2 linked regions of the Macaca mulatta genome follow. Each later gene encodes a partner of the first gene's protein in a complex. Links are inferred from orthologs where the notes say so. Each region holds a gene or a part of one and is shown in the gene's direction. Other genes may lie near its edges.

Region 1 (6,611 bases):
TTCACCCCACATAGTGAGACCTTGCTTCCTAAGGACATACTGAGGGATATCTTGACCTTCTGTGCTCAAGAAACTGCAGATGTCTGAAGGGGTACACAGCTGGCCAGTCCCCACAGGGTGTTTCAGAATTGCTCTTCTCTCCACCCACCAGGCCAGTCCACCGTGCTTCTCCAGGCTATGTGGGTTTAGCAAACAGCAGCAGTTGCCTTGGGGCTTGGTTTCTTGGTAATAGCTTTCCTTTTGCCCCTGAGACCTGTGGCAGTGTGCCCAGAACTCCTCCCTCCTGCACACCCCACAGTAGGCACATTCTCCTACTGGCAGCAGATACGTTTTCTAACAAGTAGAGAAAATGGTTTTTCTTGCCCTGCAAGAGGTCTCATAAGATCCAACTATAGCCAAGGCCATGTTTATCACTTGTGGAGCCCTGGCCGATCCTTCTATGGGCACAGAACATTTCTCTCCCACCTAAGTTAGGACCTGCATCCCTGTTTGGGAGCATATGGAAGCCAGGCATCCCAGGTCCAGGAGGTCATCCCACTTCCTGGGCAGTGCTATGCCAGATGAGGGCCTGTCCTCTCAGCTGCAGCATCTTGCAGTGGAAGTGCCTGCTTGTTCACATGAAACAAGTTTCATAGTAAGTAAGTGGAGGTCAGGCCAGCACTGAAACCCAAGTCTGGCTGAACCAACTCACCTGTTCGTATTGCCTTGCTCAATTTTCTGTTACCTCTAGTGGAATGTGAGGGTAGGTTATGAAGCTGTGGTTGGGGAGTGTCACTTCTCTCTGGGTCCTTGTCTTTTAGGTTCCAGTGTGTGTTCCAAGTGCTGCCAAAGTGCCTCAGCCCAGAGACACCCCTGCCTGGCGTGGTGCTGGCTGTTGAGCTCCTCTCCCTCCTTGCGGACCACGACCAGTTGGCACCTCAGCTCTGTTCCCACTCGGGTAAAGCAGGGTGGGGCGGGCGTCTGGACTGCTCCTGCAGATCAAGGGAAGTGTTGGGGTGGGGACAGGGTCAAGGGCCTCGGAGGGCTTCTGCAGCATGTAGCCCAGGCTCTTCATGAGAAAGGGCACCCTGAGTGAGAGGTGCACTGTCCTTTTCAGAAGACTGCCTCCTGCTGCTGCTGTACATGTACATCACATCACGGCCTGACAGAGTGGCCTCAGAGACACAATGGCTCCAGCTGGAACAAGAGGTAAAAACTCCAGAGCCCCTTCTGGACACTGTCCCCACCCCATCCTAAGAACCGACAGAATCTCCTCTTTCTACTGGGGAGAAAAGGAGCTTTAGTTCATTTTAGTAACGAGTATATCAAGCAGCTAAAGAGGTAAACTCAGTTTGGGGGCTGTGCACTACACAGATGCAATGCAGACAGGAATTGGCAGAGTTGCCTGATGACTGAACCTGTCCTGGCTTTGGGGCTTGGGGGCAGGATGGGGGGCTGGAGGCAGGTGGGTTGCTGGTGAGACATGGGTGCTCGTCCTGGGTCTGCCCTGGGAAGGTCCCACACCACTTCTTGGACCCCATTTGTGCAGACAAGCAGTTGCTGAAGTAAGTGAACTCTTACAGAAGCTTGAGAAAGCCCTCACAGGGACTGGTCTTCTTCTGCCCACGATGGAGCTGATCTGTTCTTGTTCTAGGTGGTGTGGCTCCTGGCTAAGCTTGGTGTGCAGAGCCCCTTGCCCCTAGTCACTGGCTCCAACTGCCAGTGTAATGTAGAGGTGAGTAGGCAGGGGCCAACAGCTGGCAGCTCTGTGGGTGGTAAGGGGACTCTGTGCAAGGACTGTAGACCCCACTGCAAACCCCCTCACCTGAGGTGGCTAGGCTGAATGGATTGTTAGGGTGCAGGCCATGGTGGCACCAGACAGTCTGTGCCCCCTCTCTCCCAGGTGGTCAGAGCGCTCACGGTGATGTTGCATAGACAGTGGCTGACAGTGCGGAGGGCAGGTGGGCCCCCAAGGACTGACCAGCAGAGGCGGACAGTGCGCTGTCTGCGGGACACGGTGCTGCTGCTGCACGGCCTGTCCCAGAAGGACAAGCTCTTCATAATGCACTGCGTGGAGGTCCTGCATCAGTATGACCAGGTGATGCCGGGGGTCAGCATGCTCATCCGCGGGCTTCCTGACGTGACCGACTGTGAAGGTGAGCCTGCCAGAGGCCCTCCCGCCCAGCCCCCACGGCTTCTCCCTGAGGTTCCCCAACAACTCATATTCCTGGGCATCCCCTCAGCAGGCCCCTGCCCATTACAGCCTGTTCCGGCACTGGGGTCATTTTCTTTTATCTTCTGCCCCAGTTCTTCTCCAAGCATATTGGGCTGCCTTTTGCTCCTATCTGTTGAATGTGCCTGGCAGAGCCACAGTTTTTCCAGAAATACCTGTGTCTGAATTGCTTTTGTATCACTTTGTTTGCAGTAGCTGAGGGAGCAAGGCCTGGGTCTGGAAGGGACTGGTTAGTTCCTGCGGGCGTTGGGGGAGGAGAGGTGGGACCCGCCCTAGGCCCTGGCACCTTTGGGCCCTCACCAAGAACCTCTCCTTTTTGTCTCAGAGGCAGCCCTGGATGACCTCTGTGCCGCGGAAACCGATGTGGACGACCCCGAGTTGGAGTGTGGCTGAGGCCCTGAGTGTCCAGCCACATGGTGGCACCAGCACCATTCCTTTCCTTACCACATCAACTGATTAAAGCAGTGACCAGCAGGAACTGCCCAGAGAACCGGCTGGCCTTGTTTCCTGAGTCTAATCTCTTTGGCGGAGTGGGAGGGGTGGAGCGGGACCGGGACGGGACCTTGAGTGGCTGGGATCCTTCTTCCTGTCCCTGGCTGCTGCTGATCCCCAGTCCCCATGGTAACCGATCTGCCTTGAGGAAGGAGCCCTGCCTTGCCTGTGGAATTGTCCTGAGTCATTGCTTTGGGCTGGGGCCATGGGAAGAAACCATTGTGTGGCAGGGAAGGAGGTGGCTCTTGGCCCAGGCCTAAACCAGGAAAGCCTGGAAAAGTGGGACCCACAGGTGGGCACGAAAGGGCTGCAGCAGGAGCTCCCAGCAGTGTGTAACACCGGGAGCTGGTCTGGCGCCACTGCCCTGGTCCTTCCAGCTGCCTGTCATTGGTGTGATGGCCCGGTGCATTGTGCCACCATCAGGCCACAGCCGTGGATCTCAGAAGGCCTCTGGGGTCCCCTGGGGGCGGGGAAGTGGGGGTGGGGGGACGGATGTTGGCGAGAGGGACAGACCAGGCAGGCTGACGAGCAGGGCGGGCCTGGCTCACGTGGGGCTGTAGGCGGGCCCATACCAAGTTTCACTTCCCGCCACTGCTGCCAGCGAGAGCCGCGGGAGAGTGTGCAGCAAAGTCACTACTGCCTGCCTGCCTGCCTGCTACGGTAAGTGTGGCTCCCCAAGGGGATGGCGCAGGGCAGGAGGGCCATGGGTTCCCCGACCCCAGACTAAGGGGGCACTAGGGGAGGGGCCAAGTCATGTGAAGAGGGAGCCCTCTCAGACAGTCGAATGTGCTGGTCCCACTAAGGAAACCACCCCACCCTCTCCAACTTCCTGCCTGAAAATGGGCCCTGGAGCTCACAGACAGGGCAGGATTGTGCAGGGAAGGCCTGAGATGTGCTTCTGCCCACCCCCTACCCCACTCCCTCCCCTTCGGATCTTAACACTGGGCACTCACACACCCACCCTATGCTCCTCCCCAGGCTCAGCGGCAGGTCCTACCCAACCATGGGCTCGCAGGCCCTGCCCCCGGGGCCCATGCAGACCCTCATCTTTTTCGACATGGAGGCCACTGGCTTGCCCTTCTCCCAGCCCAAGGTCACGGAGCTGTGCCTGCTGGCTGTCCACAGATGTGCCCTGGAGAGCCCCCCCACCTCTCAGGGACCACCTCCCACAGTTCCTCCACCACCGCGTGTGGTGGACAAGCTCTCCCTGTGCGTGGCTCCGGGAAAAGCCTGCAGCTCTGCAGCCAGCGAGATCACAGGTCTGAGCACAGCTGTGCTGGCAGCGCATGGGCGTCAATGTTTCGATGACAACCTGGCCAACCTGCTCCTAGCCTTCCTGCGGCGCCAGCCACAGCCCTGGTGCCTGGTGGCACACAATGGTGACCGCTATGACTTCCCCCTGCTCCAAGCAGAGCTGGCTATGCTGGGCCTCACCAGTGCTCTGGATGGTGCCTTCTGTGTGGATAGCATCACTGCGCTGAAGGCCGTGGAGCGAGCAGACAGCCCCTCAGAACACGGCCCAAGGAAGAGCTACAGCCTAGGCAGCATCTACACACGCCTGTATGGGCAGTCCCCTCCGGACTCGCACACGGCTGAGGGTGATGTCCTGGCCCTGCTCAGCATCTGTCAGTGGAGACCACAGGCCCTGCTGCGGTGGGTAGATGCTCACGCCAGGCCCTTCAGCACCATCAGGCCCATGTATGGGGTCACAGCCTCTGCTGGGACCAAGCCAAGACCATCTGCTGTCACAGCCCCTGCACACCTGGCCACAACCAGGAACACTAGTCCCAGCCTTGGAGAGAGAAGGAGACCCAAGGATCTTCCTCCAATGAAGGACCCTGGAGCCCTACCCAGGGAGGGGCTGCTGGCACCACTGGGTCTACTGGCCGTCCTGACCTTGGCAGTGGCCACACTGTATGGACTATCCCTGGCTGCACCTGGGGAATAGGCCAAGAAGGAAAATCTGAAGAATAAAGACCCCCCCCGTCCTCCAGCACTGAGTGGTCACTTGGCTCCTACCCTTCTTGGCAGTCCAGACCTCTGCCCACACTCAGGGACCTGGGGAGGAGGGCATAGTGTTTGTCCCTCACTTTCCCTAGCAGGATGATCAACTATCTGAGCTCAATAAAAGTAGGGAAAACACGAGAAGCCCGAATGGTTGATGGAAACAGTACAGCCTGATCCCAATCCCAGCAGCCAGGAAGAAAGGGGACAGCAGCTCCAAACGATTGCATTTATTATAAACAAGAGTACAGACCCCAGACTCAGAAACACAACAGATTTGAAGCTAAGACAGCTCTGGTGAAACAGTAATGGAGGAGGAACACCGAGGTATTCATGTCTGGGCCAGAGCTGCCATCCAGGGCCCCACACCCCACCTTTGGTCCAGATGGCCCCTTGGCCCAGGTGTCCCTGCTGCCAGAACACCCTGGACTGGGGTACCAGGGTTGCATATTCCATGAGGCTGGTGTCGGGGAAAGCAGGGACTCACAGTTGCCAGGTTGTCCGTCTCCTCTGAGCCAATTTCCCTCCACTATCCTGGGGTTTCAGTCTCATATCAACTATCATGTTTAAAACAGAAAACAGGCAAAATGTTTGGCTAAAATAAAATGAAAACACGGCAGGGAAGAGACCTGAGTGTGCTGGTGGACAGGAGCCCTGCTCACCTGTGGGAAGGGCAGGGCCAGCAAGGGCAGCAGAGCTCCCTGTGGGCAGCTAGGCTGTGTGTGGATGTGGCCCTCCGGGTGGTCCCAGGGAAGATGCAGGGACAGGGGACAGTCCAGGCAGACAACTCTCAGGTGAGAAGGGCTCTGCCTGAGGTGTTCTGGCATCAGGAGGCTGCCTGACCCCCAACAGGCACGACACAGGCTCCAGGGAACAATGGGACATCTGCCTAAAGAATCAAAGCCCAACTTGGTCAGATCCCAAGCTTCGCCTGCATCACCTCAAGCAGCAGCTGGCTACACTGCCAAAACCAGGACACATCTGCATCATACAGAAAGCTGCGCCACCCTGGTGCGACAGGCCATACTTGGTCACCCTAGGGTAAGCTGGAGAAGAACTCCAGATGTGCCCTGGAGAACCCCCCCACCTCTCAGGGGCGACCTCACAGGGTGCCCCCACCACCCCATTCTTTGAGTTTGGCTTGAGATTTTAGGAAGCATAATTTCAGGTGAGGAAGAGAACAAAGTCTGGTCCCAGCCCACTCTGGCAAGGATCATTCCCCACCTCGTCAGCATCAGAGGAAGCCACATATACAGGCAGGACACACACAGCACGGCTGGGACATAAGGAACCGTGCCTGCACACCACTCACACACAACATAACCAAGTGGCAGCCAGAGAGGTCGGAGAACACTCAGAGGGCCGCCTTCGGGGCATCCACGTAGGCCGGGTTGTAAGGAGGCTGGCTGGCAGGGTAGGGCGCGGCTGCTCCTCCTGAAAGCAGAGAGGATCCTGGTTGGCTGTGAGCATGGTGGGCTGCCGTATGAGTGGCAGGCGAGCAGAAAGGGGCAGAGGCCTATTCAGTGATGTACTCTGGGATGGGTGCCCGAGGGATGCTGGCAGATACTCAGGGAGTTGGGCAGGGCTAGAGTCAGCAGGGGCACTCACCAGCCAGGGTCTCGTGGTAGGCCGGCGGGCCCATGGGTTGGGCCGGGTAAGGTGGTGGGTACTGCATTGGGTAGGGTGCTGCTGGCATCCCTGGCTGAGGTGGCATGGTGTGGTAGCCCTGGTAGCTTGGTCCAGGGTAGCTGGGCGGCACACTTGGAGGCTGAGGATAAGGGGCATGCACCACAGTGGTGGATGTGGTGGTGGTGACAACCGCTGCAAAGAGAATTCCAGTGAGGACCCTCCTCCACCTCCCCAGGTATTAGGGCCAGGCTTGCCACCCATCCCTCCAGCTTAG
Region 2 (3,327 bases), on another chromosome or scaffold:
GTTGAGGGCCAGGCATGGTGGGTCACGTCTGTAAGCCCAGCACGTTGGGAGGCCGAGGCTGGAGGATCACTTGAGTCCAGGAGTTTGAGACCAGCCTGGGCAACATAGTGAGACCTTATCTCTACAAATAATTTTTTAAAATTAGCCAGGTATGGCTGGGCGTGGTGGCTTACGCCTGTAGTCCCAGCATTTTGGGAGGCCGAGGCAGGCAGATCACCTGAGGTCAGGAGTTTGAGACCAGCCTGGCCAACAACCCTGTTTCTACTAAAAATACAAAAATTGGCTGGGCATGGTGGGCGGGCATCTGTAATCCCAGCTACTTGGGAGGCTGAGGCAGGAGAATCACTTGAACCTGGGAGGTGGAGGTTGCAGTAATCAGGATCGCGCCACTGCACTCGAGCCTGGATGACAGAGGGAGACTCTGTCTCAAAATAAATAAATAAATTTTAAAAATTAGCCAAGTCTGGTAGTGTGTGTCTACAGTCCTACCTATTTGGGAGTCTGAGGCAGGAGGAACACTTGAGCCCAGGAGTTTGAGTTTTTTAAAAATGAGATAGCTGAATTTAATTTTAATGTTCTGTGGTTTTATTATCAGTCAATGCCAATAGGGAGACAATTGATATAAAATTGGAGAAGTACTTTTAGTCCTGTCACTGCTCCCTTCCAGTGTGGAGAATGAATTGGGTTATAACAGAATCAGTGAGCCCAACCACTCATGTTTTACATAGCAGGGTGGATGAGGGGAATTTACATGGATTGTATGTTCTTAGATGGTTTGGGGCCATTCTCATTCTCCGTCCTGTTGAATAGGCCTCTGAAGACCTTCTCAAGGAACACTACATTGACCTGAAGGACCGTCCGTTCTTTGCCGGCCTGGTGAAATACATGCACTCAGGGCCGGTAGTTGCCATGGTGAGTGTGCCTGTGTGAGATACTCCAAGTATGCATTGCTTGTCGTCTGCGCTAGGCTCTCTTCTAGACACTGGGGATACAGTCATGAGTGAGACCAAATAGATATCTATTTTCATATATCAGCTAATGGTTAGTGATAGGCCCAGAAATGAATAGGAGTAGCAAGTGATCACTTTAGAATGGATGATCAAAGAATGCAAATTTTAAGCTGTGATCTGAATGACAAGAAGCAGCCAGCTATGTACAGAATCACAGTGAAAAACATTTCCAGCCAAGCAAACAGCATGTGCAAAGGTCCCAGGGTGGGAATGAGCTTGGCGTTTTGAAGTATGGGAGGAGAATTGAAATGCCCGAAGCCTGATGGGTGGGAGAGAAGTTGGGATGTGAAGAGTTCAGAGGCATGGGCAGGGGCCTCCTCTCTTAGGGGTGTGTTGACCATGTAGTTCCTGAGTGCTGGGAAGCTATGGGACACTTCACACTTGGCCTTTTTTTTTTTTTTTTTGAGATGGAGTCTCGCTTTGTCACCCAGGCTGGAGTGCAGTGGCACAATCTCGGCTCACTGCAAGCTCCGCCTCCCGGGTTCACACCATTCTCCTGCCTCAGCCTCCTGAGTAGCTGGGACTACAGGTGCCCACCACCACGCCCGGCTAATTTTTTTGTATTTGTAGTAGAGACGGGGTTTCACTGTGTTAGCCAGGATGGTCATGATTTCCTGATCTCGTGATCCACCCGCCTCAGCCTCCCAAAGTGTTGGGATTACAAGTGTGAGCCACCGCGCCCTGCCCACACTTGGCATTTTAAGGAGGCTGCTCTGGTTGCTGAATGGAGAGTACATTGTAGAAAGGCAAGCATCAGGGCAGGGAGACCAGGATCCCTAGTGCCGGAATAAGTGGATACTCTAAATATTTGTTCAGTGAATGAATGTCATCTTAAGGGGCCTTTTTATTTTTTCCTATTTTTGGATTAATAGTTGCCAGATTTTCTGCTGAGATGGGTTTTCTTCTTTGACCATATCTTCTTCTGTCCTTGGAGGTCTGGGAGGGGCTGAATGTGGTGAAGACAGGCCGAGTCATGCTCGGGGAGACCAACCCTGCGGACTCCAAGCCTGGGACCATCCGTGGCGACTTCTGCATACAAGTTGGCAGGTGAGATTTTGCTCTTTTTCCCCCTTTTCCAAAATCTGATTTAGTTGCCACAAGGATTTGGGTTTTTGAGGCTGGAGGTAGACATGATACCATATGCAGGTTGATTTTATCGGAGTTTATTGTTTTCCTCCCCCTTAAGTTGGTGTTTGGCTTTGGTTTTTAAAATCACTGTAGTTGTACCTCCGTTACACGAAGTGTAGAACCTGGTACAACACACTTTGCTGGCCACAGTCTTTCCTGAAGGCTCTTACTGTTTGCACCAGTGTGACCGGGAGGGCTGAATGTGGGGAGGGCATTTTTCACCCTTACATGAATGGCCATTGTAGGCTTTTTCTTTTAACATGGTCTAATGTCCATGGAGCTTCAGCTTTTATGCTGCCGTGGCTGTAGATTTCTGGCAATGGGCGCATTTTAATCCTTCTGGTCTTGGTCATGTGACTATCTCTTTCTCCACCCAGGAACATTATACATGGCAGTGATTCCGTGGAGAGTGCAGAGAAGGAGATCAGCTTGTGGTTTCACCCTGAGGAACTGGTAGATTACATGAGCTGTGCTCAGAACTGGATCTATGAATGACAGGAGAGCAGGCTACAATGCTTTCACATCCATTTCTCCTCCTTCCCATGGGCAGAGGACCAGGCTCTAGGAAATCTAGTTATTTAAAGGAACTTCGTCATAATTTGGAAGGAAGCTCTTGGAGCTGTGAGTGCTCCCTGTACAGTGTTACCATCCCCTACCATCTGATTAAAATGCTTCCTCCCAACTTAGGATTCATTGAGTTGGTTACTTTGTATTGTTGTATTTTTTTTTCTTCTTTTCATGTACACTGAATAACCTGACCTAATAGAGAATGTAAATACTATAAAAATTATTTATATTGAGATCTCACATACACACAGGCATTCTTTGCCTGCCCTTCTTAACCCCTGCGTCCCTTCCACTCTTGGCATGGAGCTACTCAACAGGCATCTATGGAGCATCTGCTACATGGCCAAGACTGGACTAGGTGCAGAGGATTCATCAGAAATAATACATGAGGGCTGGGTGTGCTGGCTTGTGCTTGTGATACCAGCTACTTGGGAGGCTGAGGTGGGAGACTAGCCTGGGTAACAGAGCAAGACCCTGTCTCACTAAAAAAAAAAAAAAAAAAAAAAAAATTAGGCTGGGTACAATGACTCATGCCTTTAATTCCAGCTATTCAGGAGGCTGAGGGGAAGAATCGCTAGAGGCCAGTACAAGTCCAGCGTGGGCAACACAGCAAGACACTGAC

Evidence for each region. The genes of interacting proteins can lie anywhere in the genome.
Region 2: TREX1 (region 1) and NME1 share a complex: the UniProt entries of both Homo sapiens proteins name them as parts of the SET complex. The link is inferred for Macaca mulatta from reciprocal best matches to the Homo sapiens genes TREX1 and NME1.

The regions. Positions count from the first base shown.
Region 1 is NC_133407.1:111,872,470-111,879,080, forward strand, and holds TREX1 (three-prime repair exonuclease 1), read left to right. Parts: upstream 1-2,779; 5' UTR 2,780-2,909; coding exon 2,910-3,224; intron 3,225-3,277; exon of another isoform or gene 3,278-3,364; intron 3,365-3,682; exon of another isoform or gene 3,683-3,707; coding exon of another isoform or gene 3,708-3,719; coding exon 3,720-4,652; 3' UTR 4,653-4,697; downstream 4,698-6,611. Other genes in the region: ATRIP (ATR-interacting protein), read left to right, coding at 801-937, 1,097-1,188, 1,634-1,714, 1,883-2,135, 2,538-2,605; SHISA5 (protein shisa-5), read right to left, coding at 6,063-6,142, 6,317-6,529. UniProt on the Homo sapiens protein: Major cellular 3'-to-5' DNA exonuclease which digests single-stranded DNA (ssDNA) and double-stranded DNA (dsDNA) with mismatched 3' termini. Prevents cell-intrinsic initiation of autoimmunity.
Region 2 is NC_133421.1:58,843,836-58,847,162, reverse strand, and holds the end of NME1 (nucleoside diphosphate kinase A), read left to right. Parts: intron 1-810; coding exon 811-912; intron 913-1,944; coding exon 1,945-2,057; intron 2,058-2,515; coding exon 2,516-2,633; 3' UTR 2,634-2,827; downstream 2,828-3,327. UniProt on the Homo sapiens protein: Major role in the synthesis of nucleoside triphosphates other than ATP. The ATP gamma phosphate is transferred to the NDP beta phosphate via a ping-pong mechanism, using a phosphorylated active-site intermediate.